4 linked regions of the Saccharomyces cerevisiae S288C genome follow. Changing the gene in region 3 together with the main gene of any one other region gives a genetic interaction. Each region holds a gene or a part of one and is shown on either strand. Other genes may lie near its edges. The genes, in order: SLP1, RGI2, GRC3 and FRE3.

What was found.
Region 1: mutations in GRC3 (region 3) and SLP1 together harm fitness more than expected from each alone (negative genetic interaction), as found in Saccharomyces cerevisiae (one large-scale study listed by BioGRID).
Region 2: mutations in GRC3 (region 3) and RGI2 together harm fitness more than expected from each alone (negative genetic interaction), as found in Saccharomyces cerevisiae (one large-scale study listed by BioGRID).
Region 4: mutations in GRC3 (region 3) and FRE3 together harm fitness more than expected from each alone (negative genetic interaction), as found in Saccharomyces cerevisiae (one large-scale study listed by BioGRID).

What each region holds. Positions count from the first base shown.
Region 1 is NC_001147.6:620,716-629,266, reverse strand, and holds SLP1 (Slp1p), read right to left. Parts: upstream 4,539-8,551; coding exon 2,775-4,538; downstream 1-2,774. Other genes in the region: SUMO ligase NFI1, read left to right, coding at 1-907; ISN1 (IMP 5'-nucleotidase), read left to right, coding at 1,287-2,639; ATP-binding cassette multidrug transporter PDR5, read right to left, coding at 4,892-8,551. UniProt on the Saccharomyces cerevisiae protein: May be involved in membrane protein folding. Required for localization of MPS3 to the nuclear envelope.
Region 2 is NC_001141.2:244,779-251,999, reverse strand, and holds RGI2 (Rgi2p), read left to right. Parts: upstream 1-3,603; coding exon 3,604-4,098; downstream 4,099-7,221. Other genes in the region: VHR1 (Vhr1p), read right to left, coding at 87-2,009; YIL059C (uncharacterized protein), read left to right, coding at 5,085-5,450; YIL060W (uncharacterized protein), read right to left, coding at 5,174-5,608; U1 snRNP complex subunit SNP1, read left to right, coding at 6,441-7,221. UniProt on the Saccharomyces cerevisiae protein: Involved in the control of energetic metabolism and significantly contribute to cell fitness, especially under respiratory growth conditions.
Region 3 is NC_001144.5:66,884-75,292, forward strand, and holds GRC3 (polynucleotide 5'-hydroxyl-kinase), read left to right. Parts: upstream 1-1,696; coding exon 1,697-3,595; downstream 3,596-8,409. Other genes in the region: E3 ubiquitin-protein ligase PRP19, read right to left, coding at 1-1,373; putative AAA family ATPase RIX7, read right to left, coding at 3,750-6,263; IRC19 (Irc19p), read left to right, coding at 6,526-7,218; YLL032C (uncharacterized protein), read right to left, coding at 7,387-8,409. UniProt on the Saccharomyces cerevisiae protein: Polynucleotide 5'-kinase involved in rRNA processing. Required for the efficient termination by RNA polymerase I and the processing of the IST2 pre-rRNA internal transcribed spacer localized between the 5.8S and 25S rRNAs.
Region 4 is NC_001147.6:1,053,627-1,062,425, reverse strand, and holds FRE3 (ferric-chelate reductase), read right to left. Parts: upstream 6,882-8,799; coding exon 4,746-6,881; downstream 1-4,745. Other genes in the region: FRE5 (putative ferric-chelate reductase), read right to left, coding at 1-862; FIT3 (Fit3p), read left to right, coding at 1,371-1,985; FIT2 (Fit2p), read right to left, coding at 2,434-2,895; YOR381W-A (uncharacterized protein), read right to left, coding at 3,836-4,003. UniProt on the Saccharomyces cerevisiae protein: Siderophore-iron reductase responsible for reducing extracellular iron prior to import. Catalyzes the reductive uptake of Fe(3+) bound to di- and trihydroxamate siderophores.

The sequences.
Region 1 (8,551 bases), on a different chromosome or scaffold from region 3:
CGTTATAACGGATACTGTTAACCAAAATCACAGTGTGAAAAACGAGAACCAAGGCACTGTCAAACAAGAGCAAGATTATGACAGCCGAAATGCCTTCGATACTAATTTGCGTAATGGTTCAAACCACAACGAACCCGAAATAATATCTCTGGATAGCTCAGATGATGAAGCCTTTATTCCGGCTAGTAAAAGCTTCCCAACGCACGTGAACCCCCGTAATGACCAATTAAGAGCAGATATATTTCCCTCAGAATCGGAAGGATCCAGTGACTACAACCCCAATCATACATCAACGCCGAAAGGTTCTCCAACTATGGACCAAGATAATTATCAAGATGCTTTTCAAATGAGGTCATTTTTGAACCAAGGCGCTACTACAAATATAAATGACACACCGACGAACAATAGCAGTATTAATTCTTTCGTTACGGCGACGAATGGTGACAGCAGAATATTCTACAATAGAGGGCCATCAACGCCACTATTACCGGCTGTTCTACAAAATTTGACTAATCAAACGGAAGCGCAGAGAAACCCCTACGGACCTAATTACAATACCACAGCTCAAGATCGTAATCTTTTGGGAATCGAAGGTGATTTGCCTCCAATCCCCCCTGTGGACCCAAATTCAGAAGCAGAAACTGAACTACCAACAAGGACCACATCGGCGGCACATCTCCCTCCATATATACACGTGAGCACCAGCGGCCATGGGGATGATGGAAAAATTAGGAAGAGAAGGCATTCTAATGTTTCTATCTACATTCCGAAGAATCCATACGCCACCCTTATGAAACGGAGACCACAGGCAAATCACGCCATAATGAATAAAACTCTGGCCCAAACTAATGACTTTAACACATCGGCTCAAGATAACTCGGAAGTGGTCGATTTAACATCAGATTGATTAACCGTCTTTTGATTTCTTTCCTTTCCGATTGTATTCTATTTTTATTTCTATTGTTTCATTTCGCTCTTAATATTGACTTCCACTTTTGGGCGTAAATGATGTTTTTGTTTTGATAAATATTACGACTTTTGTTATGTTTTTTTACTACTGTGGTTACTTCATGGGTGTAGTGTGCGAATCTGCAGTGATAGGTTTCTATAGATTTCTCTGTATACTTCCTGTATTACACTATAATATTTCATGTCCTTTCACTTCCCACGTTTAGCGGGACAGGCCGCCCTTAAATTAACAAAATTTAAAAGGTAAAGGAATGTACTAAGAAAAGAAAACTATTCAAAGAAAGTAACAAAAGATCGTGAGTTAACTTATAATAGCAATGTCCTCAAGATATAGAGTGGAATATCATTTGAAGAGCCACCGCAAGGATGAGTTTATAGATTGGGTAAAGGGGCTACTGGCCTCACCTTTTGTTCTACATGCCGTCTCTCATGAAGGTGACTACAATGACGACTTAGCAACAACTCAACGTGTAAGGTCGCAGTATGCTGATATCTTTAAAGACATTGAAGGGCTGATTAAAGATAAAATAGAATTTGACTCAAGAAACATGAGCCAAGACGAAATTGAAGATGGCGCCTCTTCTCAATCTCTGAATATATTAGGACAATCGCGTTTAAATCTTTTGGTTCCATCAATTGGAACATTCTTTACGGAACTTCCATTGGAACAAGCTTTTCTATGGGAAGACTCACAACGGGCCATTTCGGCGCGTAGAATGGTAGCACCCAGTTTTAATGATATCAGGCATATCCTGAATACTGCACAGATATTTCACTTTAAGAAACAGGAGAACTTACATAATGGTAAGGTTTTGAGATTAGTGACTTTTGATGGAGATGTGACGCTGTATGAAGATGGTGGCTCCCTGGTTTACACTAATCCTGTAATTCCTTATATTCTCAAGCTGTTGCGGTGCGGTATCAATGTGGGAATAGTCACTGCGGCCGGATATGATGAAGCTGGAACCTATGAGAACAGATTGAAAGGATTAATTGTTGCATTACATGATTCAACTGATATACCAGTTTCTCAAAAGCAGAATTTAACAATAATGGGTGGTGAGTCGAGTTACCTTTTCCGTTACTATGAAGACCCGGAGGAAGATAACTTTGGCTTTAGACAAATTGACAAAGAGGAATGGCTATTGCCTAGAATGAAGGCTTGGTCCCTCGAGGACGTGGAAAAGACTTTGGACTTTGCCGAGAGAACTCTTAACAGGTTAAGAAAAAGACTAAACCTACCTTCAGAGATTTCTATTATCCGTAAAGTCAGGGCAGTGGGTATCGTCCCAGGCGAACGGTACGATGAAGCTTCTAAAAGACAAGTTCCTGTTAAGCTTGATAGGGAACAACTGGAGGAAATAGTTTTAACCCTTCAAAACACTTTAGAGTCTTTTGCCCCATCTAGAAGAATTCAATTTAGTTGTTTTGATGGTGGTAGTGATGTCTGGTGTGATATTGGGGGGAAAGATCTTGGTGTTCGTTCATTGCAACAATTTTATAACCCTGAATCTCCTATCCAACCCTCTGAAACCTTACACGTAGGCGATCAGTTTGCACCGGTGGGATCAGCAAATGATTTTAAGGCAAGGCTAGCTGGATGTACCCTCTGGATAGCATCCCCTCAAGAAACAGTGAATTATCTTCATAGATTATTAGAAACTGATTAAAACAGTTTATGTAAAATGAAATTAGGACTATAAAAGTATATAGATATTTCCTATAGAAACACCTCATATATGGCGGTGGATTTTTTCATCTTGAATGAATTATGCTTAGAATTATGATTATGGGCCCTCTAGGATTCATCTGATTGCTTGTTGAACAATGTCTGCCTTTTCAATAGCGCCATTTTTGCTCTCTTCGAAATCTTCAAAGTAAAGCTCTCTCGTTATTAATAGATAGGATATCAACCCTACGAAGGCGAAAAATGACGCATAAACAATTCTTCTTTGAAAACTGACTTCTTTTTCCAATCTTTCCAAATGCAATAAATGACGGTTAGTAAATTTGTCATTCTCCAGTTTCTGTTCTTCTAATATACGTAAAGATTGATCTTTCAATTGATTGGCAAAGTTATTCAGCAGATCTAGATTACTCATCATTGTTTCGTTGAATATCGTGACAAGATGACTGAACTTTGCTTCGTGCGCCATTTCAAGTTGTTCAAACGATTTAGATAGCAGTTTGCTCTGTTCCTCAATGTAAGAAACTGTCAAACTAGAATTTGTCTCCAGTTGTGACAGCCTTTTCATGATGTTCTTAAAAATGGATTCTTCTGGAATTACAGGAACAGCCGAAGAAGAAGAAGAAGATATCATTTGCTTGGAAGGACAAAAGGATGCATTAAGCACCTTGAAAAATTCATCGAACTTCAAAGGGATGAGCTTTGAAGTACATGATAATGCACCAGCTAAGTCTGAGAGATTGCTTGTGTTTGGAGTCTCTAAACGCGTTTCTATATTGTTACATCTGTCTTGGATATTTTGTTCATTCAAATTGTTTATATTGTTAGTTCCTATGGATTGTTCTTTATCCTCTTGAGCCTTTAGTTGATCGATCTTAAACTCATCCATCATTGATTTACCATATACTTTGATTAAGGATATGGGACAATAAAATTCGTCCTCATAATGGGATAGAATTTCGATTTTCAAATAACTTGCCCAGATTTGGGGATTATGTATTTGAAACTTTTGTAGTTCTCTTGAATTTCTTGCCTCGAATTCTCCTAATATTGTCCATTCATTTTTAACCATCGGTATTCTATCAGAAACTGACACCCTAAATCTCTTGAAGGTCGAGGAAAAGAATTCGTAATTAGCAATTTCAATTTCCTCCACCAGGATATCTTCACAAAGCTCTATAACAATGAATTGCTGCGGAGCTGAACAGGGATTCAGTAAATACTTGTCTTTGCTCTCAATTAACGTAGAAGTCGCTCCAATCGCTTCTGGATTGCTTTTGACAATTGTTGCAGCGCAATCCAAGGATGCATAGTTGAATTTTTTTTTGTAAACTTTCTCTATGTCCTTTTCCTCATTGAATCCTTTTTGATTTTCTTCTCTTTCACTCCACTCGTTTTTGTTTGTCAAAAACCCCAAATCGATTTCCAACTCTTCTCCTATGCATTCTTTCTCTTTATAGCAAGAGGGATCGACTGGCTCCCTCACTCGACTAAGATGACGTTCAGGGCCTGATGAGTGCTCCTTCGACTTGACCTTCTTCCATTCGTCGAACGATAAAAATGAATTACTCGAATCGCCCGGATTCCTTGGTGTTGCAGGCTGTGTTAGTGCATCTTGCTCTTTCCTCTCACCGTTTTCCCGTATGTCAGCCTGCCGTATGTCAACTTTAGAGGCCTGTCTAAAATCATGGGTTCTTAAAGAACCGGTGGATAGTGGTGAGGAATGTTCTTTCTGCACGTTCGTTGTACTTCCAGTCGTGATCACAGTGGTATCATGTAGACCAATCTTCGCATTTTGAGCAGTTTTGTTCCTATCTAATGCAAAAGATCCGATTATACTTACCCACAAAATAAGGCCGTATATGAGAAGACGGTTCGCCATTCGGACAGATAATGATATAATATATCTTATATTTTAACTATATCCATTGCGTCCTTTCTTTTTAACCGTAAGGCACAGTTAAGAAATAATGTTTTCACACTAAATGCTGATGCCTATAAAAAAAAAGTACCGATGAGATAACCTAGGAATAAAATTCTCGGAATTCTTTCGGACATTGAACTTTGATTTATCAGAGCTGGTAAATTCAAGAAAATTGAAATGTAGAAAGCTCGCTGAATTAAGAAAAAAAAAATAAAAACTTATTATTACGCACCTATATGTAGTGATTATGTATGTTTATTAAAAAAGTCCATCTTGGTAAGTTTCTTTTCTTAACCAAATTCAAAATTCTATTATTTCTTGGAGAGTTTACCGTTCTTTTTAGGCACTCTTGCTAACCAGTAGAAAAAGACACCAGCGATATAATTGAATGCAATATAACAGATGAAGATACCATAATTTCTCCATCTCTCACTGTAGAAAGAATTGACATTAGCTAAGTAATCATTGGTTGTAGATATTTGACAGAAACTACAGGTGTCAGTGGCATTTTCATCAGTTAAGTAACCAGTCTTTGCTAGTTGTAAATATGGTTCCATGTACTGCCCACATGTCATACCGGATGGTGGTGTGAATTCTAGCAATTCGTAATCAGCGCATTTGACGTCTACGTTAGCAACACCAACAGCCAACAGAGCCTGAATGAAATAAGTCAAAGGTGAAACCCTGTACATGAATATCCAAAATCTAGGCATGGCACTTGGGGTAGTCATAACACCACAAAAAGACAAAGACATTGTAAACAACAAAGAGGCTAAGTTAGCTGCACTTTCTGCAACTTGGTTGAATGAAATGACAAGCAGACCCATAGAACCAACATAAACGTAGAAAGCACAAGAGAACAACCAAAATAAAGCACCCCTTTCATGCAACTGGCCAGCTGCAGACGCGTTGGAGTAAAATCCAATTGGATAATAGTAGATAAAATAAGCAATAGTACCTGCCAATATATTCCATGGAACTTCCACGAATATTTGAGCGAAGATAAATGAAATCCAAGAAAAAGTCCTTGAGGGGCGTTCCCTGGCCTCATACAAATCTCTTTGCTGGACAAAAGATGGTAGGTATTGTTGTAGAATAGGATTGAAAATAACCGTAAACATGAACACAGCCAACATTTGATTTTGTAAACCCTGTAGCGAGGTTCCTGCTTTGAAGAAAGTGAAACCGATGAACAATTGATTGAAAATAGTTAAAATAAACTTCGACCATAAATAATCTGGAGATCTCCAATATTGCTGGAATAGACGAATACTGACCAATTTTGTTTGATAAATAATTGATTGTGAAAATTCGTGTTTGTCCTCAGCTGCAGTTATCGAACCTTTCTTTGGTAATTCTCTTTCCATCCAATCTAATTCAGATTGAACGGCCCTGTACTCTTCAGAATTCCTCCAAACTTCGTAATAATCTTGATTTGCATGAGAGCCTGGAGCTGCACCAACAACTTCTAGCATCCATTCAGCTGGGTTGGCGTCAGCAGGGCATTTATGAGCACCATGGCTTTCAAAATAATCGATCATAGTTTTACAACCTTCGCCCAAGTCGCCAAAGTAGACAGTCTTACCACCACGTTGCATAAATAGTAAACGATCGAATTCTTGCATCAAAATAGCAGAGGGTTGGTGAATAGTACATAGAATTGCTTGACCATGATTTGCCAACTTTTTCATTAGCTGACAAATAGACCAAGCAGTTTGAGAATCCAAACCAGAAGTAGGTTCATCTAAAAAGACCAACAGTTTTGGTTTGGCAGTTAATTCAACACCAATGGTTAATCTTTTTCTTTGTTCAACGTTTAAACCTTCACCAGCAACACCAACAACAGCATCAGCATATTTTTCCATTTCAAGAATTTTAATAACTTCTTCAACATATCTGTTCTTTTCTTCAATGGAAACTTCAGCTGGTTGACGTAGGTAAGCAGAAAATCTCAATGACTCCCTCACAGTGGCAGTTTTCAAATGCAAATCTTGTTGCTGACAATAACCAATGGATCTTGGGAAAGATTTATCACGGGGAATACCATTGACCAAGATATCACCAGTTATAACACCCATGGTAACCCTTTCGGCCAAACAATCCAGAAGTGTGGTTTTACCAGCACCTGAAGCACCCATTAAAGCTGTTAAAGTACCTGGTTTAACCCAACCATCAACATTGTTCAAAATACGTCTTGTTTCGGCCTTAATCTGAACTTCGTAACAAAGGTTTCTCCAGTGAAATATAGCCTCTGACTTGGATAAACCAATTTCTCCGTAAGTATCGGATTCCTCTTCAGAGCTTTCTTGTAGCATTTTCCTATCGCTGGATAAGTCACTACGTTCCCCAACGTTTTCGGGGTCATTTGCATTCTTTTCAGTTAGTACACCTCTTTTCTTCATTCTTTTAACTATACTGCGTGGGAAAACTAATATTTCACCTTTTTGTTTAGCACCCTCGTTGTATTCACATAAGAATAGATAGACAAAGAAAAAGAAGACGACATAAGCCATACCAATACCGAAACCACGCCATTTGTCTTTGTGGTAGTATTGATAAGTTCCTCTAATGAAATCATCACCCAGAACATAGTCTTGGCCTGGAACAGCTCCAACCACGGTACAAACAGATTCTGTACTAGAAATGTTTGCATACGCAGGACCACGAGGAACATATTCAGCGCAGGGGAATTTTATACCATGAAACTCGTTAATTAACAAAGATTCGAATAAGTAAGCCAACGGATTGATATACCAAATCCATTTAGACCAACGTAGGATCTTCTTCTTAGGAATAGCAAAACCGGTATACATGGATAGAGCCAACAATAACATAGAAGCGGGAACCATAGCTTCTGACAATGTCTTTGTTAAGGAACCAACACATCTAAACAAGTGAGACATGGAGAAAACCGCGACAATGTTTATTAATAAGTAGAAAAAGAATACACCACCATTTCTTCTAAAGTCTACTAAGAAATAGAAGATTATATTGAAGCAAACAGCGATGATTAACTTTGAGGGTATTTCTGATAGAACTGATGCAAAAGCGTCAGCACTTGGATGGTATAACGAATATGTTCTATGTTTTTCAGTGATTGGTCTGGCCTCATATAACGAAAAGATTTCTAACAGAGAAGAAAATGCATTGAATAGAATTGCAAAAAACATAGCAGAACCACGGAAATAGAATGTAGAAGTATCACCCTTTTTCATGATCTTGAAAAACATTGAACCCAAGATTAAAGCCATACTACAGTTACCCAAAATCATAAATAATGTAAACCCGATATTATTTCGCAGTCTCCACATATTTCTGATTAATAGGTATTTAACTTGCATCATGTAGCTGACAGTATAAGGAGAGGAAGGTCTTGCTCTCTTGGACTGCTTAGCAATGTGGGCTTCCTTAATAGCTTCACGGCTTGCTTCATCGTCATTCAATAATCGTTGGTCGACTTCTTTCATTAGCTCTTTGTAATTTGGAGATTTTACCCAGTAATCGTTCATTTCCTTCGGGGTCTGTGGTATATGAATACCTTTTTTTAGCATATCTTTGTTCAGGGTTCTCTCAGAGGGACTTGTAACTGAGGTCAAAAAATCTGCGGTGGTTTGTCTGCTTGGACAAACATACCCCATATCTTCAAAGTACTTCTTGGCCTTATCGGCGGGGCCATAGTAGATCTGATAACCATCATCCAAAACACAGACTTTATTGAACAAGTCGTACGCATCTTGAGAACATTGATAGATGGCCACTGTGGCAGATGTATTGGAAATATCAGCTTGAGTCTTTAAGGCACGAATAAATTCCAAAGCGGTAGCGGAATCCAAACCCCTTGTAGCATTATCCCAGCATTGAAATTTGGATCCACAGATGGAGACTTCAGCAATGGAGACACGCTTCCTTTCACCACCGGAAACACCTCTGACGATGTCGTTACCAACTTTTGTATTCCTTGTATGCGATAA
Region 2 (7,221 bases), on a different chromosome or scaffold from region 3:
TGTACGCGAATTGAAAAAGAAAAAAATATTGTGTAGAATGTGTATTAGGCAGTTATGTATGTAGACAATTTTGTTTTGTATTTTTATCAAAGTAAAGGCTGGAAAACCGGCTGTGGTAAATTGCCATTTTGAAAAGAATTTTTGTTCTTTGTAACGTATGGCGCTGGCACAGACTCGTTGTGGTCATTATTATTTGTGTTGGAGGTGGAGGTGCCAGTGTTTAAAGTAGTGTTGCTATTTTCTTCATTCATTGGCGATTTAGAGATCCTATTAAGGATGTTATCAAAGGCAGTTAAGCTTGATTTTTTTGGATCATCTTTTTCTTGTGGTACCAATGGAATAGAAGGCATAGAGGGGTTTTCACCTATGCATGACATTTTGGGCAACGTAATGGGCACTGGTATTTTTGCATCTTGTAGTGGAATGGTGGAAATGTCCTTAATTACGAGATGAATCTCGCTCGTGGAAAAGGAATCAAATAACTTTGCCAAACTTTCATCGTTCAAGAGGTTATCGTTATGGAAAATACCAAAATTCTTGTTCTTGTTGATAATATTAAATAAATTTTTACAGTTTTCCAAAACTTCAGACACCGTGGGTGGTCCATTGCTCAACTGGTGGAAAGTAAAGGCTTGCTCGCGATCATTAAATCTAATGATCACTCTGCGATTAACATCTTTATTGGCCGATTGAGGCTTCATTGGTAGCGTAGTTAAAAGTGTAGCTCTATTCGATAGAGTGTTATTATTATTCAACATAACGTCACTTGAAACGACAGGAGGGCTTCTCTTAACCCTCTTGTTAGGTGAAGATGATGGTGGTTCTGACGCACAGGAACTAGCCAAAGGATACTGAACCATCACAATATGATGTATGATTTCACTTAAAGGGTAAAGCGTGGGGTCGAAGCCAAAATCCTTGACAATACCACCTATGACCAAATACAGTAGCCTTAGTTGTACCTGAGCCGCGGGGAAATGAGATAAGTTATGTCTTGTAGCGGCACCGAACAGTCTTTGAGACAACAAAGCCAGATTTTCAGGAGAGCACGTCTTGGCAGTGATATACTTCATTGAAGAAGAGACCAAGTTGGAGAAAAATCGTTCGATAACGAATGCAATAGACATTCGGATTGACATTTCACCCAAAATCTCCAGATTTGCGTATATATCAATGGATCCTGCAGCCTGCGAAATGTCCTGACAAGTTCTTGATCTTTGGATTTGTAGGAGTAACTTTTCCCTCAGGAAAAATGGCACGGTAGAATCTATCGGGATGTTTGTGGTAATGTTAGGTTGCTGGCTGAGTGAAGACGTAGCAAAATGTGACAGGTTTGGCCCAGTATATGGGTCCTTGAGAGCTTGTTCTGATAGGGGTACGACATTCGTAACAAGATCGTGCACTAGCATGGTGACTATATCGTTATACTTTTGTTGGGTCGAAGTAACCGATGGAGATGAGTCATTTTGGGTGCCCACGGTTGGAAAAATGGTTCCGTTATGACTCTGGTGACTCATGAGAGGCTGGAACTTGTTTGAAAACTGGAAATCTGCAGCATAATTAGAACTAGGCAGGAAGTCCGAATTGGAGCGCTGGTAGATCGACGGAGAGATCTCGTCGTCAGAAGTAGAATTTGACGAGATGCTGTTGTTGACATTGCCGCCACTGCCATTGGCTATGCTGAGAGCGTAGCGTTTTTTTGATCGTTTTCTATTCCTTCTCACTGATTGCACAGCAGCAGTGACTAACTTTTCGAATTCCTTAGAGCAGCTTACAGGGTATCCAAACTCCGTTCTTAATATTGTAGCAATCTGCTTTATGTTTTGATCTTGTTCGCTTGCCTTATATTGACTTAGTTGGAATTTGTCTATCAGCTCCAGCCTTCTGCTCGAAAACTGTTTCCATTTCTTTTCATCATTAAAATTGAGTAATTCTCTAATCTTATGAGTTGCTCCATTCCCAGAAAACTTATTTATTCTATATTGAGTGAATGTTGGAGGACCGTTCATATGTGTATAGGATATAAGCAACGAAGAAGAATAGGTAGAAAGAGAATAAAGAAGGTTTTAAAGCTATAACTAGTAGAAAAGAAAAATGTAGGAAGGGAATGCGGATGCGTTTATGCTAAGATGCGATGGGGACAATAGAAAAAGAAGAGAAAAAAAAGGAAGAGGAAGAGGTAGTGGTATAGAGAAAGAGAGAGAAAAAAAAAGGCTAGTAGTATTTGTATAGTAGGGAAAGGGCTAGATTAGAACTGAACCAAGCTGACCTGAATTGACTCAATAACACCATTCTCACCCACACAAGTACCGAAGATCCAAAAGGCAAGAATCATGGAAGAGAGCACATTGATTTATAGTAAAAAAAAAAAAAAGAGAAGACGACGGTAGAAAGATTTCAGGGAACATATGGCTTACACTTATGCTGAAGAAGTAAGAGGGAGAAGCGAAGCAAATATAATCTGTCACAATGCACAGTGCGCAAACGTAATCTGCCCACTCAGCTAATAGCTCCTGCCATGATTCTGCTGCGTAGTCTATATGAAAGGAAACGAAGGTCAGAGATGAAAAAGAGATAAAAAAGAAAAGAAACTTCTCCGAGGGGCGCAGAATTCAGGGCAAAACAACATGGAATCGATCAAAAGTCATAGTCACCCACGGAAACGTGGCGCCTATTCCGTGGCAGCTACCCGCCCGCCGCTTGTTCTCAGGGCACTTGTCCACTGCATTCCGATGTTCCGCGGAAATTAGCACGGCCTCTTATCCCCGGCTCCGCACGATTCCCTGTGTCCGTGCATAACGAATGACTCTTGTGTCGTGTTATCCGGGCTTTCTCCTTTTCCTTTCCCCGAGAAAGCAACCGACGCATACGGATATAAGCGGATCCCACCGAAAAGGAGACTCCACGGTCTTGGTGAATAACATCGCGCAGATTATTCTGCGAACCGTGGCTAATAGGAGCATGCCCGAAGAAATGATTATGGGTGCGTGATCACCAATCTGTGTGAGGCTGTCGAAGATATCTGATAATCAGTAAGCGATAAAAAAAAAATAAAAATAAAAAAATAACGACACCAGCAGGATTTGAACCAGCGCGGGCAGAGCCCAACAGATTTCAAGTCTGTCGCCTTAACCACTCGGCCATAGTGCCTAAAACAATGTAGGTTATTTAAGCAAGTATTGTAGATACTTTTCGTAATAAACTACAATGCACCCACGACTCGCGGTGTAATGATGGCATGAAATCATTGAACGAAGTTTTGCGGCTATACGGCTGAAGGACGAGACTAAAGGGACAGGAATTATTAATGCGGGGTATAATTTGAATAGTATTAACGGGCACTGCCGTTTAGCCATCAAATGCTATTGTTGGGGTATTCTCTCTACTTTTTGTTCTTGGCTTGAACCTTTTCGGCGGTTGGCAATCGTCCGTATATAAGCATCGGCTGTCCCAATCCTCTATTGCCCTTTTCCCTTGCACCTCCTTCTCAATTCTTCGTATCTTTCGCGTAAAGGTAGATCTTGATTCACCTATCTGTCGAAACACGATTAAGTGCAAACGAAACAACGTACAGTATATAACAAAGTATTTTAAATAATAAGAATGACGAAAAAGGATAAGAAAGCAAAGGGTCCTAAGATGTCCACCATCACTACAAAAAGTGGTGAGTCCTTAAAGGTTTTTGAGGATTTGCATGATTTTGAAACATATTTAAAGGGTGAGACGGAAGATCAAGAGTTCGACCATGTCCATTGCCAACTGAAGTACTATCCACCCTTTGTCCTGCATGATGCGCATGATGATCCGGAAAAGATCAAAGAGACTGCCAATTCGCACTCTAAGAAGTTTGTTCGCCATTTACACCAGCATGTTGAGAAGCACCTGCTAAAGGACATCAAAACCGCTATCAACAAGCCAGAATTGAAATTCCACGATAAGAAAAAGCAGGAATCCTTTGACCGGATTGTTTGGAATTATGGCGAAGAAACGGAGTTGAACGCCAAGAAATTCAAGGTGTCTGTCGAAGTTGTATGTAAACACGATGGCGCAATGGTAGATGTTGATTACAAGACAGAACCCTTGCAGCCACTCATCTAAGTTTGGGGAGCTGTTTTTATGAATTAACGAAATTTTATGAATTTACGAAATATAGCATGCTATATAAAATAATTTATATGCGCATGTATTTTGGTGTGCACCTTCTTACTGGAGTGTATACAAGTCTACAAATCAACACATGTGGTTTTTTTAATGTTTTGTCGTCACAACGCGACCTTAAATAAAAGAATTCCACGCTAGATTCATGCTACTATCACGAACAATACGTACCAATTAAGCTTTCTTGGTGTAATAAAAAAAGAGAAATGTACACACCACCATGATTCCGTTTACGTCTTGCTTTTCTACTTGTTTCGCTCATGGGTTCTCATCAGCTCTATTGTGTGTGCCCTCTTTGTAGATAATTAAACACATTGAAAAAAAAGAAAACGAAAAGATGGCACACGGCTTGGTCATCGAGTGAAGAAATGAAACTTCAAAAAAATTGCCGGACACTTAAACCTTAACGAGTTATACAGAACCGTATCCAGACCTGGAGCTGGGCTATAAGAAGAAGCGACAATATGGTATACTAAATTTCTGGACTCGTAGTCACTCAGTCTGTTTGTCAGTAAGTCACGTAGACCTGTATCGGCAGTAACTATGGTATTTTTTCCAGATTAATTATTATACGATGTTGTTACTTCGATAAGGTCACAACAGGTTTTCCATTGTTGAGAAACTGACTTTGATTATTATTTAGTTAGTAGGCAACTGTCATGTTGCAACCACAACAAGCAACAATCCTTTCACCATGACTATTATAAGCGGCCGGCAAAATTGCCGGGAAAACTGCCAGGGATATAATGCAACCTTCATTTGAGCACTTAAAATAGAAGATAACGTTGGTAAACCCCCCTTGATAGTGGACACATCCTACGTAGATCTCTCTACAGCCAAGTCGTATATATAGCAGCAAATTGCAACCAACCACATGGGACATAGGAATGAGTGGTTTTCTCAGACCCTGAACGTGACCGTCCATCATGAATTTCTCCACAGTTTTTCAAGCAATAATCGCGGTTTTAGGTTTAACTACAGTCACAGCTTTAGCAGAATTTGATTTCGACGTAGGCTATGAAGAGTTTGTCCGTACCAATCCTGATACGATTTTCTTAGAGAGTGATATTGGCCTGCACGTTGGATATACCGAGGGTGGCGAACGACAGATAGCAACGATACCACACAATTCCACGCTAGGGACTTCACTACGTGAGTATAGTGGCTGTGGTGGTAATGGTACAGAAACCTCCATCGCTACCCCCGCACCTACAATGAGTGAGGTACCTATCGCTACCTTCGTGAAACGTAGAAAAAGTGTACCTATCTTGCTACCGCAGGTATGTATGTGAAGAGTTGGTGAATTTTGAGATAATTGTTGGGATTCCATTTTTAATAAGGCAATAATATTAGGTATGTAGAATGTACTAGAAGTTCTCCTCGAGGATTTAGGAATCCATAAAAGGGAATCTGCAATTCTACACAATTCTATAAATATTATTATCATCATTTTATATGTTAATATTCATTGATCCTATTACATTATCAATCCTTGCGTTTCAGCTTCCACTAATTTAGATGACTATTTCTCATCATTTGCGTCATCTTCTAACACCGTATATGATAATATACTAGTAACGTAAATACTAGTTAGTAGATGATAGTTGATTTTTATTCCAACAGTATGGGAGGTATATGAACCCCTACAACCACTCATTTAGAAGTGGGGGACTGTAGTTCTTTTATGAAGTAACGAAATTTTATGAAGTAACAACAAATGTTGTTAATTGTAATCTTAATAATCTAACATTTAATAAATCTTGACCTTAGACTTTTTTGTCTATTCATAATATGCTGATATTACTTTTCTTAAATATAAATATAATCTATATAATATTATTAACGAAATGTAGGAAGCTAAAAAAAAAAAAAAAAAAAAGAAAGAGACTTTTATGCGTATATTTAGGTACCCCGGTACTTACTTCTGTATATATAAATCAGTGAATCAATACATATTTTTTTTTAATGTTTTGTCCTTATAACGCGACTTATTCAAAAGAAAAAAAGAAGTCCCATGCAAAAATCTTGTCATTATTGCGAATGGATATATCAGTGAGACCTTTTTAAGGTTGTAGGGAAAAGGAAGTACGCTTCATTACAATTTCGTTCATGTCTTGCTCGCCTACTTGTTTTGCTCATAAATCCCATCAGCACCATTGTATGCGCCCTTCGTAGGAAATTAACGCATCTGAAGAAAAAAAGAACTGCAAGATAATGACACACAGCACGGTCATCGACTGTCGAAAGGAAACCTTAAAAAAGTAATCGGCACCTCAACCTTGATGAATTATAATCTATCCAAGTATCCAGACGACGTGTCGAGACTTTTCAAGCCAAGGCCACCTTTATCTTACAAAAGACCAACCGATTACCCATATGCGAAGAGACAAACAAATCCAAATATCACTGGCGTTGCAAACTTACTATCAACCTCTTTGAAGCACTATATGGAGGAGTTTCCTGAAGGATCTCCAAACAACCATCTCCAAAGATACGAAGACATCAAACTTTCCAAGATCAAAAATGCTCAATTGTTAGACCGGAGACTACAAAATTGGAATCCTAACGTTGACCCTCATATCAAGGACACAGATCCCTACAGAACGATATTTATTGGGAGGCTACCATACGATCTTGACGAAATTGAACTGCAAAAGTATTTTGTTAAGTTTGGCGAGATCGAAAAAATTAGGATAGTCAAGGACAAGATAACCCAGAAGAGTAAAGGCTACGCCTTCATAGTTTTCAAAGACCCAATAAGTAGTAAAATGGCATTCAAGGAGATTGGAGTACACAGAGGTATCCAAATCAAAGACAGAATCTGCATAGTCGACATAGAAAGAGGCAGAACCGTTAAATATTTCAAGCCAAGAAGATTGGGCGGCGGCCTAGGAGGCAGAGGCTATTCCAACAGAGACAGCAGGCTTCCAGGAAGGTTTGCAAGCGCAAGTACATCAAATCCCGCCGAAAGAAATTATGCTCCCAGGCTGCCACGCAGGGAAACTTCTTCCTCCGCATATAGCGCTGATAGATACGGCAGTTCCACATTGGACGCGAGGTACC
Region 3 (8,409 bases):
GTCCAATTTTTTGTTTTCTTGTCAAATTTGTATATCGTCAGCGAATTGCTCTCGTTTGAGTATGCAATCATATTCTTTCCAGAGTCGTCAATGTCATAGGTAACGGTGCCCGTCTTGAATTCTGGGATTGTGTAAGTTGGATACGCTAGCGTGCCGACATCCTTTCTTAGGTCAAAGCAAACCACAGTTTGGTCACACTCTACTACCATCCAGTACCCATTGTCTGCAAATTTAACCTCTTTTATCTTGGCTTCTTCATCTACGGGGAATCTAGAGCTTGCCTGGTCAGGTGATGACAAGTTGTAAACGTCTAATATACCGTCCGGAGAGTAAAGGGCTAATAATAATGAATCCTTATGTAGGACACCGCTGCTGTACTCAACATCTGATTTAGCAGAATGAACAATATACTGGGAATCATCCTCGTAGGATTGAAATCCTATGGTTCCTCTATTATCCGCCCAGATGAAGTACTCTGTGTTGACCTCGTTGTGACCATACATATATATAATCTCATTGGCGGAATCTACCTCTATTTCTCTGAGGACTTTGTTTGTTTTTGAGTCCAATATAGTTATTTGGTTACCTGGATATAGTAGTAGCAAACGATTACAAGGCCCTCTGGAAATAATAGCTGGATGCTCTCCCCCGGTACGGGGATTTGGTGTAGTTATTGTGGTAATCGTTTTCGAATCTTTTAATTGGGTAAAATGTAAAGCACCATCCTCACAGCGACACATGCACACCCATTTATCATAGTACATAGATTTGTTAAGCTCTTTATATGGGAATGTTTTGATGTTACGGGAGTAATTTTGTGCCTGTAATAGCTCCAAATTTTTTAAAATCGGCCATTTGGGTGCTTTGAGCTTGCCCCTCGCTACAAAGTCTCTAGAAGATTGTAACAGCCCTTGTAAAAATTCTTCTCTCGTAATAGCTACCGCTTGCTGTGAGGATTTGGGTAAATCCTTCGAATCTTCGTTTTTTTCCATCAATAGTTGCGCAGCGACCAACTTTGCAGCATCTCTTTCGTACATTACAGTCGACAGTTTTTTCGTTAAACTATCTAGAGTTGATCGTAACTTAAAGTTTTCGAGCATTATAGCATCCCATTCATTCTGTAAACTTGTCAACAGATTCGGAATCGAATAATTCGCTTTTAACGTAGCAGAGTTTGTAGACTCTGTTAGTGAGGCTTGTTGCGCACTAGGTACGATTTCCACTATTTCTTCGATGCTTAAGGGCTCATTTGTTATCGGATCATTCCCCGTATCTTTAACATACTGTTCAAGGAGCGACTTTTCAAAAATAGTCCTGGATTTAGGTGATAGAACTGGCCTTCTAGGAACTTTCCCACTAATAGCACAAAGCATTGTTCCCTAGTTGGCTTTCTTGGCTATGTTTTGGTCTTTAATATTTCTTGGAAAGTTTGCATCTTTCTAAAATTGCCCTTACGAATTTTTCACCGCTGCTACCCGAAAAAGTACGAAATTTATCAACATGAAATTTATTCCTGCCAAGTCATCGAGTGCTCTGCGCCTAAGGCTTAGGTTGCATTTAAGTTGTCTTAATTCACGCTTATAGTGCAGGTAGTATAGGTTCCCCACTCCTGATCTTTCCCTTCTGAAATAAGGAAAGACTGCAGTTTAGTTTGGCAGAGAGAAGAAGATAATCATTTCTATTATATTCTACCGCTATGGTGATAGATTCCAAACAGGATCTACCTCAATATACCAAAGATTCAGGTTCAGAATCGGACTCAGACTCAAGTAATAATTTCATTGTGGAATCTCCGTCAATTCCATCTTCAAAAAGTGCAACCGTAGTTCTCAATAGTGAAGAGTATGAGGACGACGAAGGTGATGACTTGAACGGGCTGGATGCTGAATTGATCGATAATATAACGTATGAAGGAGATGAAGATGAAACTATGTTTGTGGGGTTGAAAGAAAAACAGAAGTTACATTTATCTGGTGTTTTCCGGCTGCAAGTGGTGAAAGGAGGTATTGTCTACAACAATGTACACTATAACGCTTCGAGAGAAATTTTAACCTTCTGGCACCCGTTATCACAGTCCATACCTACTATAGATTTTTCGCACTTTGCAGGCTGGCAAGACACTTTTTTTATGCCGAGAAACAACAGGTTTAAAATTAGAGATGAAGAATTCAAATCATTTCCATGTGTTCTTCGCGTTTTTAATTCTAATCATACGGGCTTGTTAGAAGCAGGTCATTTATATCGGGATGTTAATTATCTATGGAAACCTAAAGAACCTTACTTTCCATTAAACGAGAGAACAACGTATCATTTATTACATGAGTCAGACCGAATTCAATCTTTATCCGTGCCGGGATATTGGTCAACTCCGTTAGAGAAGTTATATTTGAGTCACAAGAACGCTGCGTATGATACAAGAATCATGGTGATTGGTGGTAAAAACTCTGGGAAGTCTACATTCTTGAGGCTTTTATTGGAAAAATTTACGCAAGATATACGAGATTCTACTACGAGCCAGGAAGAATTGGTATACCTGGATTTAGATCCTGGTCAACCTGAATACTCACTACCTGATTCAATATCCCTGAATAAGATTCTTTCCAGCCCTATTTCTCTCGGACAACATCTCTGCCAAGGTTCAAATTTCCAAACTTTGTTACAGTTCTACGCTGGCTCCTCTTCCCCGCAGGACGAGCCCACATCATACCTGAACTGCGCTGATAAACTTATAGACCATTTGGAAGAGCAAGCCTTCTTCGGAACGTCATTGCTTAATCTACCTGGGTGGATAAAAGGATTCGGGATGCAGATTTTAAATCATATAATAAGGAAATATAAGCCCACTCACTTATTGTTTTTGGAAACAGCTAATTCGAAAAGACACCTGGATGAACTAACAATTCCACAGAGTTTTTCCACATCACTACGAGATGCATATGCACCTGAAGTTGTTCGCGTTCCAGCCCATAGTCTGAACCACACCTTATCTTCTAGGTTCCATGCATCACAACTGAGAACATTCAAAATACTGGCACTGTTTCATAAAATAACTCAATTTGATTATGATTTTGCGCCTCTTTTAAAATCTGCACCTTTGCAAATTTCATATGGCAAAGGTAAAAGCGGTATTAAAGGCATTCAATTTCCTATGGAATTCCAGGATCTGAATCCTCAAGATATCAAGTCCGCATTGGAAGGTACTGTCATTGGGATATATACATATTCTGGAGAAGACTCACTAGAGGTGAAATCCTTGAATACCTTTCCCATCCTACAATCGTGTACTTCTTCTTCTAAAAATTTCATAACTCTGGGGCTGATACACTCTATTGACACCTCCCAGCAAATAATGAACATTTACGTGCCACCTTGCCATACCCAGATTTTAGATAAACAACCTGAGGATGCTCAATGGATAATAGTAAGAAATAAGACGGAAACTCCTTTTTGTGACTTTCTTCCATCCCCCCGCACAATTACATGGGATGATAATATACAAATACCGTTCGCAACTTTTGAAAGAAGGAAAAAATTGGAACATGTGTGGAAAGTTCGTAAGAACGTCATGAGACGTGGCCAATTCATGAAAAGATAGAAAGAAAAGGTAATCGTACATTTTTTAATAGTGAAAGATAGAGGATACACAAAAATCATGCAAAGTTTTATATATTTGTTATGTATACTCATATTCCTTCAATATCTAAGTCATACTAACTTCTAGGGACTTTACCAAAATATTATTTATAAATTTATTGTTTCATTTCTTCCGCATCCTTCATCTCCTCCGTTAAACCCATTTTCTTATTTAATCTATCATATTTCAGTCTATCTTTATCGCTCACAGAGGGTTTAATCTTTCTTAATGCACTTCGGAAGTCAGACATGGTCACAATAATTTCTTCGCCAGATACGCCAACCGATAGATCCTCAAATTCCTTGTCTAAGTCATTATCAAGAACAGATTGTATTTCTTCGCTCTGAAAAAACTTCCTTTTTAGAGCCAAGACTGAACTCTCCCTGACTAAAGCAGCCAAGTCAGCGCCTGAAAAATTGTTGCACTTCTCATTTCTGATAATTTCTTCAAAATCAACATCGCTACTCAGAGGTGTTCCGTGTGATTTGGTCAAAGTTTTGATAATATCTAGTTTTTCCTCAGTATTAGGTAACTCAATAAACAAACTCTTATCCAATCTGCCCGGTCTTAACATAGCAGGATCAATCATATCAGGTCTATTAGTGGCGCCAATCACAAAAATTCCCCTTCTATCGTTCAGCCCATCTAATTCCGTTAACAAAGTGTTGACGACTCTTGAGGAGGATTCGGACAAAGAAGTATCTCTTCTTGGCACCAAAGCGTCCAGTTCATCAAAAAATATAACACACGGTACAGACGCCCTTGCTCTAGTAAAAACTTGTCTGATGGACCTTTCTGATTCACCAACGTATTTATTTAATAATTCAGGACCTTTGATTGATATGAAATTTGCACGAGATTCATTGGCAACAGCTTTTGCTAGTAACGTTTTACCACAACCTGGTGGTCCCCACAATAAAACACCACCAGGGGCGCTAATTCCCACTTTTTCATAAAGCTCTGGTCTCTTGATGGGTTGCACAATAGCCATATTTAATTCAAGTCTAACTCTTTGCAATGCGCCTACATTAGCCCAAGTAACATCAGGTACCGTAGCGAACCCTTCTCTCTTTGCTGTTGGTTGAATTGTTGGCAACGCTTTCAAAAAATCTTCGTACTTAATCGATAATAATGATAACTGCTCTCCTGATAAAGGCTCAGGATAATTACGAATAAATTGTTGGACTACGGATAAAGGCAACGGATCGATCATATTCGCAGTGTTCTTCAGGCTAGATTCATCTCCGTTTGCTGTTTCATCAATTTCCATGTTATCTTCTGAACTGTCCGTTGCCGTAGTTGGTGTGGATTTTATATTAGCATAGGTTTGGAAAATTCTTTTAATAGCGCATGTACCGGCAGCAGTAACTAAAGCCTTTAAATCAGCGCCAACAAAGCCTGGGGTTAATTTTGCCAATTTGGCAAAATCGATAGCACCATCAATTTTTAGGTTATCAGACATTTTCTTTAAAATATGTAACCTTGAGACTTCATTCGGGACATTCAGGCATATTTCTCTATCGAATCTACCTGCTCTTCTCAATGCTGCATCCAAAGAGTCAGGTCTATTCGTGGCACCTATGATAATAACAGGTTTTCCATTTGTCTTTTCCATCGTTAATTCATCCATTGAGGTCAATAATTGGGCAACTATTCTTCTCTCCATTTCTCTTTGGGCTCCTCCATCACGTTTTGGTGTAATGGCATCTATTTCATCAAAGAAAACAAGACATGGTGCCAAGCTTCTCGCTTCATCAAACAAATCCCTAATCTTTTTCTCGCTTTCCCCAGACATACCACTTACGACTGAAGGTGCAGAAATAGATATAAATGGGACTTGTAATTCTCCAGCTAACGCATTAGCAATCGACGTCTTACCGCAACCCGGTGGGCCATGCAACAGAACACCTCTAGGTGGTTCGACACCCGTGGATAAAAATATCTCTGGATGAAGAATGGGTAGACCTATTAGTTCCATAAGTTGTGCAACGACATCATCCATACCACCTAAGGATTTCAGAGACGAATTAGGTGGAGATCTATCTTCCTTGATTTTTTGACGTTTTACCTTACATGTACCTTCTTTGGATCTTTTTTTAGATTTTTTAACCTCTTCTGTCTTAGGATCATCAGTTTCTGTTATAGACTCGGAAACAGATCCAGATTTGGACCACGTGCTAGTTATGCGTTTGTTCATCTCATTTGTGTCTCGCTCAATCATCATATTTTTCTTAGCTAGTTCTTCTTCCAAGCTTGGTTTCTCTTCCTCTTCGTTGTTGTAACCTGGGTAAGAACCAAATTCTTCCAATTCTGATTCAATCACGTCTTTTAGCATGCGGTCAATTGTCTTTTGTAAGACAACTTTCTTAACTCTTTGAAGTGATAAATCTTTAGTCAAACAAAAGGTAAAAATCTCACCTGCTGTTAAATCTTTAGCGAAAAACATGGATTCAAATATATCCTCATCTTCTTCACCCTCGTTGTTCTCGCCCTCTTCTCCTTGGGATTCTTGTCTCAGAGACCTTTTTCTGTCCAAAGTTTTTTCTTCCAAGAGACGATAGATAAGATCGACGATCTTGTTATCTAGAGAACTTGTTAATGAGTTCTTTTTCGACTTTACTTTAACCATTATTCCAGCCTTCCCACCACGTAGCTATTATCGGCCCTAATGATCTTTTATTCTAACTGACTCGCAGATTAATTCACACATCGGTTGTTAATCATTGTTTGAATTTCCAAAATATGCGATGAGCTGAATGAAAAATTTTGGAACCTGTCACTATCGACGAACATCGAAGTTTGCCATGACAACCATATATGAAGAAAGCTTATGAGACTAGCTCGAGTATATCATACGTATGCATGTTAATCGCAGTTAAGCGGATAACACAATGCGTAAGCCTTCTATTACGATAACAACAGCAAAAGCTATTATAACTCCAGACTATACTCTTATTAAATCGCATTCTAAATACCAACTTCCTTCACGTTTTCAAAAGCTAGATGCAGACTCACCTGAGAGAAGTACAGTTGTTAAGCTATTTTACCGCCGATTTATGAGGCTTAAGCCTTTCATATCGAATGTGAAAATGGTTAAAGATACTTACAGGGATTATGTTCGATATAAGTTTATGAAAGAAAACTACGAACTCAAACGATACTTGGTATTCAATCCTGATGGCTTGAGGTCGAAAATCAATCTTGAGCTTCTCAGCAACACGAAATGTTGTGAAAGGATACTCCCCGTGACTGAGATGCAAAGAACCTTGGAATTTGTTCTGAAGAGCTGTTCATACTTGCCCGAAACAAAAGTTCAAAAGTGGGATATTGCAAGGGACAACACATATTGCAGGCAAATTTTAAAGAACCTTTTAACAATGCAATATGAAAAGTACAGATCGATTTTGCATAGAGGAATAGGCCATGATGAGCTTGACGTCAAATTCTCTCATTTGAAAACTACTTCTAGTCCGCTAACTAAGCTAAATAAAACCGAAAAGAAAAAGATTCCGCTTTTCAAAGTATTTAGTGATTTCGATACAACATTGATATATCTCAATGAGACATTAGGTACAAGGTTATAAAGATCATTATCGTAAAAGAGGAGCGGAGCGGAGCTTTTTAGTATGTATGGTAAAATATCAATCAAATACTGTAATAGATGCGGATATGCGCAATGACATATTTTGTGGTGTGCATATCCATTGAAAAGGTGCGTAGAACGTTACAATACTACTGAACTTTTTTCCTTCTCATTTTCTGCCATTTTGATATTTATGCCTATTATTGGTTTGAGCTTTATTAGAGTTGGCATAATTATAATCGTACTCGTATGTATATCCGTATCCATACCCATATCCGTTGTAATAAGTGTTTGGTATATATCCTTTGATGGCTTGGGCTCCTCCTACCGTCGTTATAACAGGCATTTTGTGGCGTTGTGGTGAGGCTCCTGATTGGCTGGTATTATCGATGGTCGTACGACTTTTGGCATTATTCATTGATCTGAAATTGCCATTGGTATTGCTATTACTGGTGTTACTCTTGCTGGAGGCAGACCCTAGAACAAATTTTTTAATTATTTTTTTAAATATTATTTTCGTCTTTTGTGTTTCCAAATAATTGGATAGTAATTCGATTGCTTTTGTTAGAGTATTCTCATTAGTATCCTTTTCAAAAGTAAAAGTGATAAGGTCCTTCTCAAAAGTTACAATTATGTTCATAATTTGCAAAAATGGAACAACAATTAGGTTATAAAATTCGTATTCTTTATTGGGATCTATCTCTTGATCTATTTTGAACTCGTATTCATAACCAAACGCACTATTAACCAATTCGTTAGCGGCTCTTGATGCATTCTCATCATTTCCTTGTATACTCAATTGAGATGTTCCATCCAAGGGCTCTTTTAACGGTATCATTATGTAAACATTTTCGTTCTTTTCGATTTGTCCTATAATATTCTTTTGGCCGTTAACATGCAAAATATGTCTATATTGCCCACTAGAAAATCTAATGAGCGTCTTCGATTGTAAACTATCATATTCTTGAACAATTTGTTTTAAATCATTCTTGGCTAGGCATATATTAGCTTTGTTTTTCCTGGGGCACCTAATTATCACATTATCATACCTGATCATAGAAATTTTATTTTGTGGAAGATTGAAACTATTGGAAAACTGAATGAAGACGTTATGCTTTCTCATTGTGGCTTGAATTAAGGAACCACCTGTACCTATAATCGGTCTGTGACAAACTTCAGGAATGAAGAAAGA
Region 4 (8,799 bases), on a different chromosome or scaffold from region 3:
AGAGAACTATCAAAGGAAAATGTGCGAATGCCAGGATCCCTGCCCTGTCGGAAAGGAAGATAAGCACTTGGCTTCTGCGATCACTGAGCAACTCATTATGGTCAAAATTGTAACTACTCAACAAGAACCCGTGCAACAAAACGTAACCGAATAGGACAAGGGTCTCTAACCTGGTAGGGACCAGACCGATGAAAAACCACCTTCCCACTGACATAGCATGGTTATGAACAAGCGCTGGAAGAACATAGTGGCCTCTTAAGAAAGCAGACACCTTGTTTTTGAACACCGTTTGTTTAAGTCGAGAAAAGTTCAAGAAGTGATATACAGCTGCAATAAACAGAACTCCTATCCAGTATAAGCAAATCGTCACTCCATAAACATTTCCTTTGTCTATATTATCCAGGGGCCCAAAATAAGCCCATACCCACCTATCTAGAGAGGCTTTATTGGGAGTGACGGGATATCGTATGTTTTCCTTTACCTCATCAAGAGGCCGGATGAAAAGGGATGCATTGGCAAAAATTCGATAATACTCCTCATTGCTGACGACCTCATCTTTGTGATAATCGTGGCAATACTGATTAATTTTGCTAAACGTTTTTTCGAATATTTTTTTACTTTTCTTCCTACTGTCGAGAACATCCTTCGCGCAATGTAACCAAGACCCTAGTGCTGGTTCATAAGTGCAAAGAGTAGCGTGCCGACCCTTCACATCCGTGTCAAATTTGTGTGATTCCAATTCTTTAGCACAAGCATCAATTGCTATCTGGTCCCATTGCGTTCTTTTCTTAGTTGATGCTGGTTTTGCTAAAGAACCTGGTGCCAAATACACCAACAGCAGCACTAATCTAGCGAAAAGCATTCGAAATCTGGGTGAATTAAATTAACTGCGACAAAATTGGTGATGTGACATACCGAAAACGCTACATTACACATTTGCCAAGTAAAAAATTGACGCTCCTTTTTTAATGATCGCTAATGTAATGAAAAGTAAAAATCCAATTAAACGAGGAAGCGGTAAAATATGATTGCTGTGTAGTAATGCCACAGTCTTCTTAGTCCTACCTATGTCCTAGATTTTTTTTTGCACCCTGTTTGTTCCGCACCCCGCTATCCCATATTTTTTGATGTATGTGAAGGAAAGCAATCTAAGGGCTCAAGAGCCGAGTTCCGCCATTCTAGGAAAGGGTGCAAAAAAATGGGGTTCAATTATCGTTCGAGATTTGTTATTTTTTTTTTTGTAAAAGTTGATTTATGGGGTATTTAAGCCAAGAACTATTTGAAGTATTAGGAGGTAATATGAATGTTCGAACAGATACAAACAAGTACTTCCACTCGCTTAAAAATAACTAATAACAATAATCCCTAAAATGAAATTCTCTTCCGCTTTGGTTCTATCTGCTGTTGCCGCTACTGCTCTTGCTGAGAGTATCACCACCACCATCACTGCCACCAAGAACGGTCATGTCTACACTAAGACTGTCACCCAAGATGCTACTTTTGTTTGGGGTGGTGAAGACTCTTACGCCAGCAGCACTTCTGCCGCTGAATCTTCTGCCGCCGAAACTTCTGCCGCCGAAACCTCTGCTGCCGCTACCACTTCTGCTGCCGCTACCACTTCTGCTGCTGAGACTTCTTCTGCTGCTGAGACTTCTTCTGCTGATGAAGGTTCTGGTTCTAGTATCACTACCACTATCACTGCCACCAAGAACGGTCACGTCTACACTAAGACTGTCACCCAAGATGCTACTTTTGTCTGGACTGGTGAAGGCAGCAGCAACACCTGGTCTCCAAGTAGTACTTCTACCAGCTCAGAAGCTGCTACCTCTTCTGCTTCAACCACTGCAACCACCACTGCTGAAACTTCTTCCTCTGCTACATCCTCTAGCACCGCTGAATTATCTAGTTACACCGGTGCTGCTGATGCCATCACCGCTGGTACTGGTTTGATGGGTGCTGCCCTTGCTGCCGTCATGTTATTGTAAATGATATGTGAATAATCATGCGGGATATCCGATTTTTATGAAGCACCTTGCGGCTTGGCCTTTTTTCGAAGTTATGTTAGAATAAAAAAATTTTAATAACACACATTAAGTATGTATGTATATATACTGTTTCAAGTTCGTTGGTCTTCCTTTAATTGTTTGAAACGGTTAAAAGTATCTAATTAAAATAAATATACCCGAAATCATACTAAAAAAATAGTTAATATTAATAAAAGTAATGATAATAATAATAATAACAATAATAATAATACGATGATGATGATGAAACGAAAAACTGCTACATTGAAGTCACTGAGAAACGTAATGAAAAAAAGTCCTTTTTACTAGCCTTTTGAAGGAGAAAGACAATTATATTAGCTTTTCATAGATAAGTTATAAATATGCTATACACGATAACTAATAGCTTTTTTCTGGTTTGAAACCGAGCTTATAATAGGTAAGAAATCAAACCAAGGGCCAATGCACCGACACTTGCTCCTTGGAATGCAGCAGGAGCAGCACCAGAAGAAGAGGCAGAAGAGGAGGAGGAGGATGAGGAGGATGAGGAGGATGTAGATGATTCGACGGCTTGAGTGACGGTCTTGGTGTAAAGGTTGGTTGATGAACCTGAACCGTTTGTCAAAGTAAGTGTCTTTGTTGTACTCTTTTCAGAGGTGGTATCTGGTCCTTCGGTGACAACCTTTGTGTAAGTAGCATCACTATTACTGACAACGACAGTTCTAGTGGTACTGTAACTAATGATAGGGTCAGCGGTGTCGGTAACGACCTTAGTGTAAACGTTATTACCGTTAGTAGCAGTAATAGTCTTAGTGGTCATTACACTCGACACAGCTGCTGCCGAGACGGCAGTCATAACTGTAGTAGCTCCGAAAATAGTTGAGAATTTCATTATTATTGTTTTGTGATGGCTTTATGATAGACTTTTTTACAAGGACCGTAAAATTCTGCCTGAAGCACGCACACATTCCTGTTTTATACATATATTGCTAGGTAATATAAAATGCTAATTATACTGCACCCAGTTAGATTCGTATACATCTTATCCGAACTCGATTACAAATTATACAAGTGATCCAATTGGGTGAACCTCGAAACAGTTCTCTGTTCAAGGGTCCGCTGCGGGGCGAGGGGGGGTGCATTTGAACTTAGGGTGCATTGTTTTAAATCCTATACAGGATATGAACTTAGTTAGTTCAATGATCGCTTGATAAATTGCACCCTGCTCTTGAGGGTCATTCTAAGTAATGAAATTTTGGGTGTTTTTGTTTGCCGTCCTCGTTCAATTCGCTTCCGCCGTTCTGGAAGCCCCGTTAACTTCCGTTCCCGCATTCCGATCGCTGTAGGGCTTGGCGTCAGTAGCACCCAGATATTTCACTGTAGGAGCTTACTTCACTCATTTCAATTGGTATACAGAAATCTATGAAATGTAGTTAAAGGCATCACTAATCCGCATCCGCGATACCCGCAACATATACGGAATGTCTATGTAAAAATGTCTCCTGTGACTTTCATTAATCGAATCTTTCTATAAAAAAAAAAATGAGCAAATCACAGTACACCCACTACTCGCATCATCAACGTTGAGTCAGTAGCAAAGTCTCCAGTTATGGTGCCCTCTGGTCCAATTGTAGTAAATTCGTTTGCACGGATGAAAAATAGCTCATGAATGTTCTTGTGTATTTGAATACCATTATGTGCGCGGCTCATACGGATTTAAGTGTGATCTTCCCCTCCGTATTCCCTGTCAATAACTCAAAGTTTTCCCATTTCGGTTTGAAGTTCTTCACAAGGGAGTTTCTTGGCGCAAAGGCATGATGATCGCATTTGCCTCAGTATATTTCGTCATTTCGGTACTGAGAAACGAAATTATTTTGCCTGTTGTCTTGCGTTTTGGCAACCCTTAAGAATTCATCTAATATGTTGGTCCTTAAAGATAAGCGCTTTTGCTTGTAAAATTCTGATTTTTTGTCTTGTGATGGTAATGCTACATTGAACATCAATGCGTATCTGATTTTAAAAAAAAAATTAGAAGTGTGTATAAAATGAAGGTATTATCAGTTGAGCAAATATTACATGTGCTCTTCAAAAGTACCTGCTTTTCATTTAGTGACTATCAGGATGATAACGCCGCTCGTCTTATTTTTAACTGTCGTTTTCTGATAAATGTGTTGAAAACGTGCTAAACAACAATTACCTGTTCTCAAGAGCCTTGAGCCTGGATTGAGAGCAAAAAATCTCTCTTTCATTTTATACAGAATTCGGAAAGAAGATGGATATTTCATGAAAATCTGTTGGTAAAAAGTGGATAAAAATTTTGTATTATTAGTATGTTCTTAGTGGTTAGGTGATAACGAAGCGAGAAAAGCAGGGCAAATGGAATAGAATAGCGTGTAGTTGTTAAAATTTTATTTCACTGAGGCTTATATGCTTACTGAGAAATTTTTTTTTTTTACAAAAAACTTCTTTTTATGTTATACCAGCTGTGGATTACCACAACAATTGGAAAGAACATCAATCCAGAAAAAAAATTCAGTTAATTTGGAGGAAGAGAAATTTAAGTCATGGAACAAGAGTGGGAGACAGTTAAAAAATGCTTCCAAAGATTAGTAGATTGAAAAAGTTTGTGAAAGTCGATCAATTGTCTTCATTGCAGCTAGACATAAATTATGTTTCAGGTCAAAACAATTAAATATATACTTGTGATAGGTAAAATAGTGAGGAAATAAATAAGGTAATTGATTACCAACTTTGGTATTCTTCAAAGTATTCGATTGCCTTTGCAGGCTTCTCTAGAACAAGATTTGCCGTTTGATCCCTTACTTCGTCAACGAAAACAGGAGGCCCACAACAAACCACAGCTAACGATCCATTTAGGTCACCAACTTCATGCAGAAGCTTTTCAACATTGGGTCTTCCATGATGAAAAACAGTACCATCAAATTCAACTGGATTAGGTGACTGTTCTAGGGTAGTTGCCATAACAACACCTTTTCCATCGGCCTTCTCGTCTTGTTGAGAAATTTCCAAACTATCATTAGGAGTTAATGCCGGAACTTCCATTGTATTGTAGATGTGAAGCTGTACATTAAGATCTTCTAGACACATCAGCTCCGGCTTGTAAGCCTCGAGTACGTTAAACCCTCTAACTGCAATCACTAATTTTATGAATTGTTTTCCAGTTGCCGCTGACGTTTTTCCAAGTTTAATGGCGTGTGCAATGGGCCCTGGCAAACCAGTACCTCCCGTAAGTAGCAAGACGTTATCATAATTATTGACTGGAGATGAAGAGCCATATGGACCTTCTATAGCTAGTCTCATAGATGCCTTACCTCCATTGCAACACACATACTTTTTGACAAGTTTTGTTACTCCCTTTTTTTCCTTCAGGATAATAGTCAGCTCACCATCTTTGATAATTGAATCTAAGACTGTGAAAGGATGTGACTGCCAAAAATACAGGTGGTGTAGGAATGAAACGAAAACATACTGTCCTGGTTTGGCTTTCCATAGCCTTACTGGTCGTTTGACTGTGACTCGAATGATGTCATCGCCAACTAACTGTAAGGAAGCCTTAGGGAAACCGAAATAAGATACTCTAACAATTCGAATTAGCCTATCAATAGTCCAGATAGCAATAGCAGCGTATATCCACTCAATCCCACTCAATTCTACGACGTGCTCCCAACACGTATAAAAGAACAATGCGCCAAGCACAATATGGAGAAATAAGAAGGCTTCATAGAAAAACTTTCTGAACATTGCCAAAGAAAAAAACACCATAACACCAACTATACAAAGAGCAGCTACTCCAAATTGCCAATATGTCTCTTCCTTGCTTGCTGCCCAATCTTTGTAGAATACGGAATAACTGGTATAAGCAGCGCCATGAATCACAGCATCTAAAAACATCATTCTTCCCAACCACTTATGAAACATTATGAAAGAGGTATATTTTACTCCAGAAATGAATTCTAGAAAATTGTTCCTTCCTGCGAAAAGAGCTATTAGGGGAAAATGTGCAAATGCCAGGACACCACTTCTATCTGCCACGTATCGAGCAATCTGTTCTCTACGAGAGTCGAAAATTAAGTTGTAAGGATCATATTGATACCCGTATGCCAGAAAAACTGTATGAAGCACGAGGTATCCAAGTATAATGACGCCTTCAGATCGTGTGGGAAGGAAGCCTGTAAAAATTTTAAGGTAAGAAAAGCTCGACGCATGTTTACCCCAGATAGTAGGTATTGTCAAATATCTTCTCACATATCTTACAAGTCTTTGTTTAAATAAGGCAGTTTTAAACGGAGTGTAACTTAGATAATGGAGTATGCTGGCAAGAATCATAACACCTACAAAATAGGCGCAAATAATACCACCATAAGTATGACCAATGTCGTAGTTGGCGTAGAAACCATGGTAAGAATAATAATAGTTTTCTCTCACTTGGGCATCCATCTCGATTGGATACGTAAGATTCGCGCTACCTTCAGAATACTGTATTATGTATGTTGTTCCATTATTCAGCATATTATAGAAATCTGCATTAGTCATATTCTGAAGGTTATCAGTGTAATATGCGCAGTCTTCTTTGATAGCAGCAAAGGTTTTTTCAAAGGTTCTATTGGAATAACCCTTTTCATTCAATGATTCGTAAATACAATACAACATTGACTGTAATGCCGGTTCATATGTACATGCTGGTGAGGAATATAAATCGTCACTACTATACTCCCAGGTTACTTCGCCGAGAACTCCCATGCAGGCATCTGTCAAAACCAGTGGTAACTTGCCGTACATTTTTGTCTTAGCAGGGGAGGCGCTTGCTCCTGACAAGCAGCATAACAAAATAGAACCACAAAGGAGGACCCAATACATTGTTTTCCTTGTGTCTTATAATTTTTGAATTGAGAACGTTCATCAGCAATTGAAGTTAATCATTCTCTTGCCACCTTATATAAGTTGCGACGAATCTTTTAATATAAACAATTGATCAAATTCTGTACATCTATGTCAAAGATGAAAGCTTCTGACAGCCAAAAAAAAGAGTCTTTCATCGCCAACGAATCAGTAGCTTTTGTTAGAATTAAGAAGTTTGGCTTTTCGCCAATTCTTTGAGATGAGGTACACCCACATTCCACGTAAAACTCAAATATCGGTCCAGGAAAATTCTCGAGTTCAATCACGTCACCAATAGTAATAATAATTGTGCTTCTCTTGACACTCGCAAGGGACTTATTCTTTACCATTCAAATTTTTCTCCTATTATACACCCGAAATAAAGGCAAAATGAGATATGGGTGCATTTTACAAAAGAGGTTGCAACTATCCCGTTCGCAGTGTAAACTATGATCTAGGGTCAACAAAGCGGTTAATTTGTCATAGTTCTTTGCAGCTTTTAATTCTCTGATATCTTTCCCTCAAAGTGTATTGTTTTCGTAACTTTAGATTTTATCTAAATGTTTCATTTCCGGCGCATTATTAGCAAAAGGGTGCTGTCTCCCTAGCTGCATTCCCAGACCGGAGGCACAGAATTCTGTAGTGATACTCTGTCATTACTTACTGCAGAAAAAGTTAAGTAGCCGCTCAGTACCTCTTAATTGAAATGAAAAATTTTCGTCGCTTATTTCCTGCTTTGTTTTTGAGTACGTTTCCAATCATTTTCTGGCGTACTTCGTGAAAGGGTAAAATTAAAATACTGAAAGCATTCATATGCTGATATAGTGCAGAAAAGCAATGAATGCTAACAACTTCCCGGATATCTGAGCAACTGGATTCGATCAGAAAAGGCACTTTTTACAGACGTACGTCAAAGCTTTTATCTTTTGGCTATCTTCGCCAACTCTATAAAAGGCTGTACTCCTATAATTAACTGATAAATAATTCCCGAATCATACTAGTATTTATTTTCTATGAGTTGTGCTAAACAACGACTTTTTGAAATGCAATATGCTGAAAAAATCACTTTTTAGTCGCAAAGTCAATTTTGGGTGATCGAGGGTTTTATCTTTTTATGCACATGTAATTCTTCCCAAGAAATAGGAATTTCTTCCCAGATGATATTTTCCAACACTGCTTCGTAGTTATAATAATCTTGCAATGCCAACCGTAAAATAGTAACGCATTTCTAGAAGAATTTCGCAATTCATTTTATATTTTTTAATCAAATGAGAAAAAAGTATAACGATTAAAAACTCTCTAACCATGTATTGGAAAAAGATGTTGCAACTTATGTAATATTCCTTGGCAGGGTTTCCGGGGCCTGTGCGCAACTTTAACGCCATTTTATGCAGGCCGAGCATTCTAAGCCTCAAAAAAAGTTGTATCTCCGAACCTGCCAATCTTTACTGTCGTACCAACCAAGGGTATGAAAAAAGCAAATAAGGCCTACAGCTTATTCAGCTTAGTATACTTCATCAGATTTATGATAAAATTTTTTTGCACTGATCCATCATTTTTTTATGGAACTGGTGGAGGAAGCTAGTTAAACCGCGAATTAAGTTAGGCGATGCGATGCGCCTACGTATTTTCAAAGTTTTACTGAAATTGGCTCAAAGCATAATTGTGATTGGAATGGGAAGCAATAAAAAAATGACTTTTGAAGTTTTCAGTTTGAATGACTTTCGATTAAATGTTTTTATTGATAATTGAGCGAAAGTGGTAGAAAGTATGTACTGGCTATTTTTCTTCCAAATATAGCCGAGACCGAACAAAATTTAAACAAAACAATTAATTAAATTATTCATTATTCATTATTCATATTAGAATATCAAGTTGTAAAAAGCTTGAAAGTCTT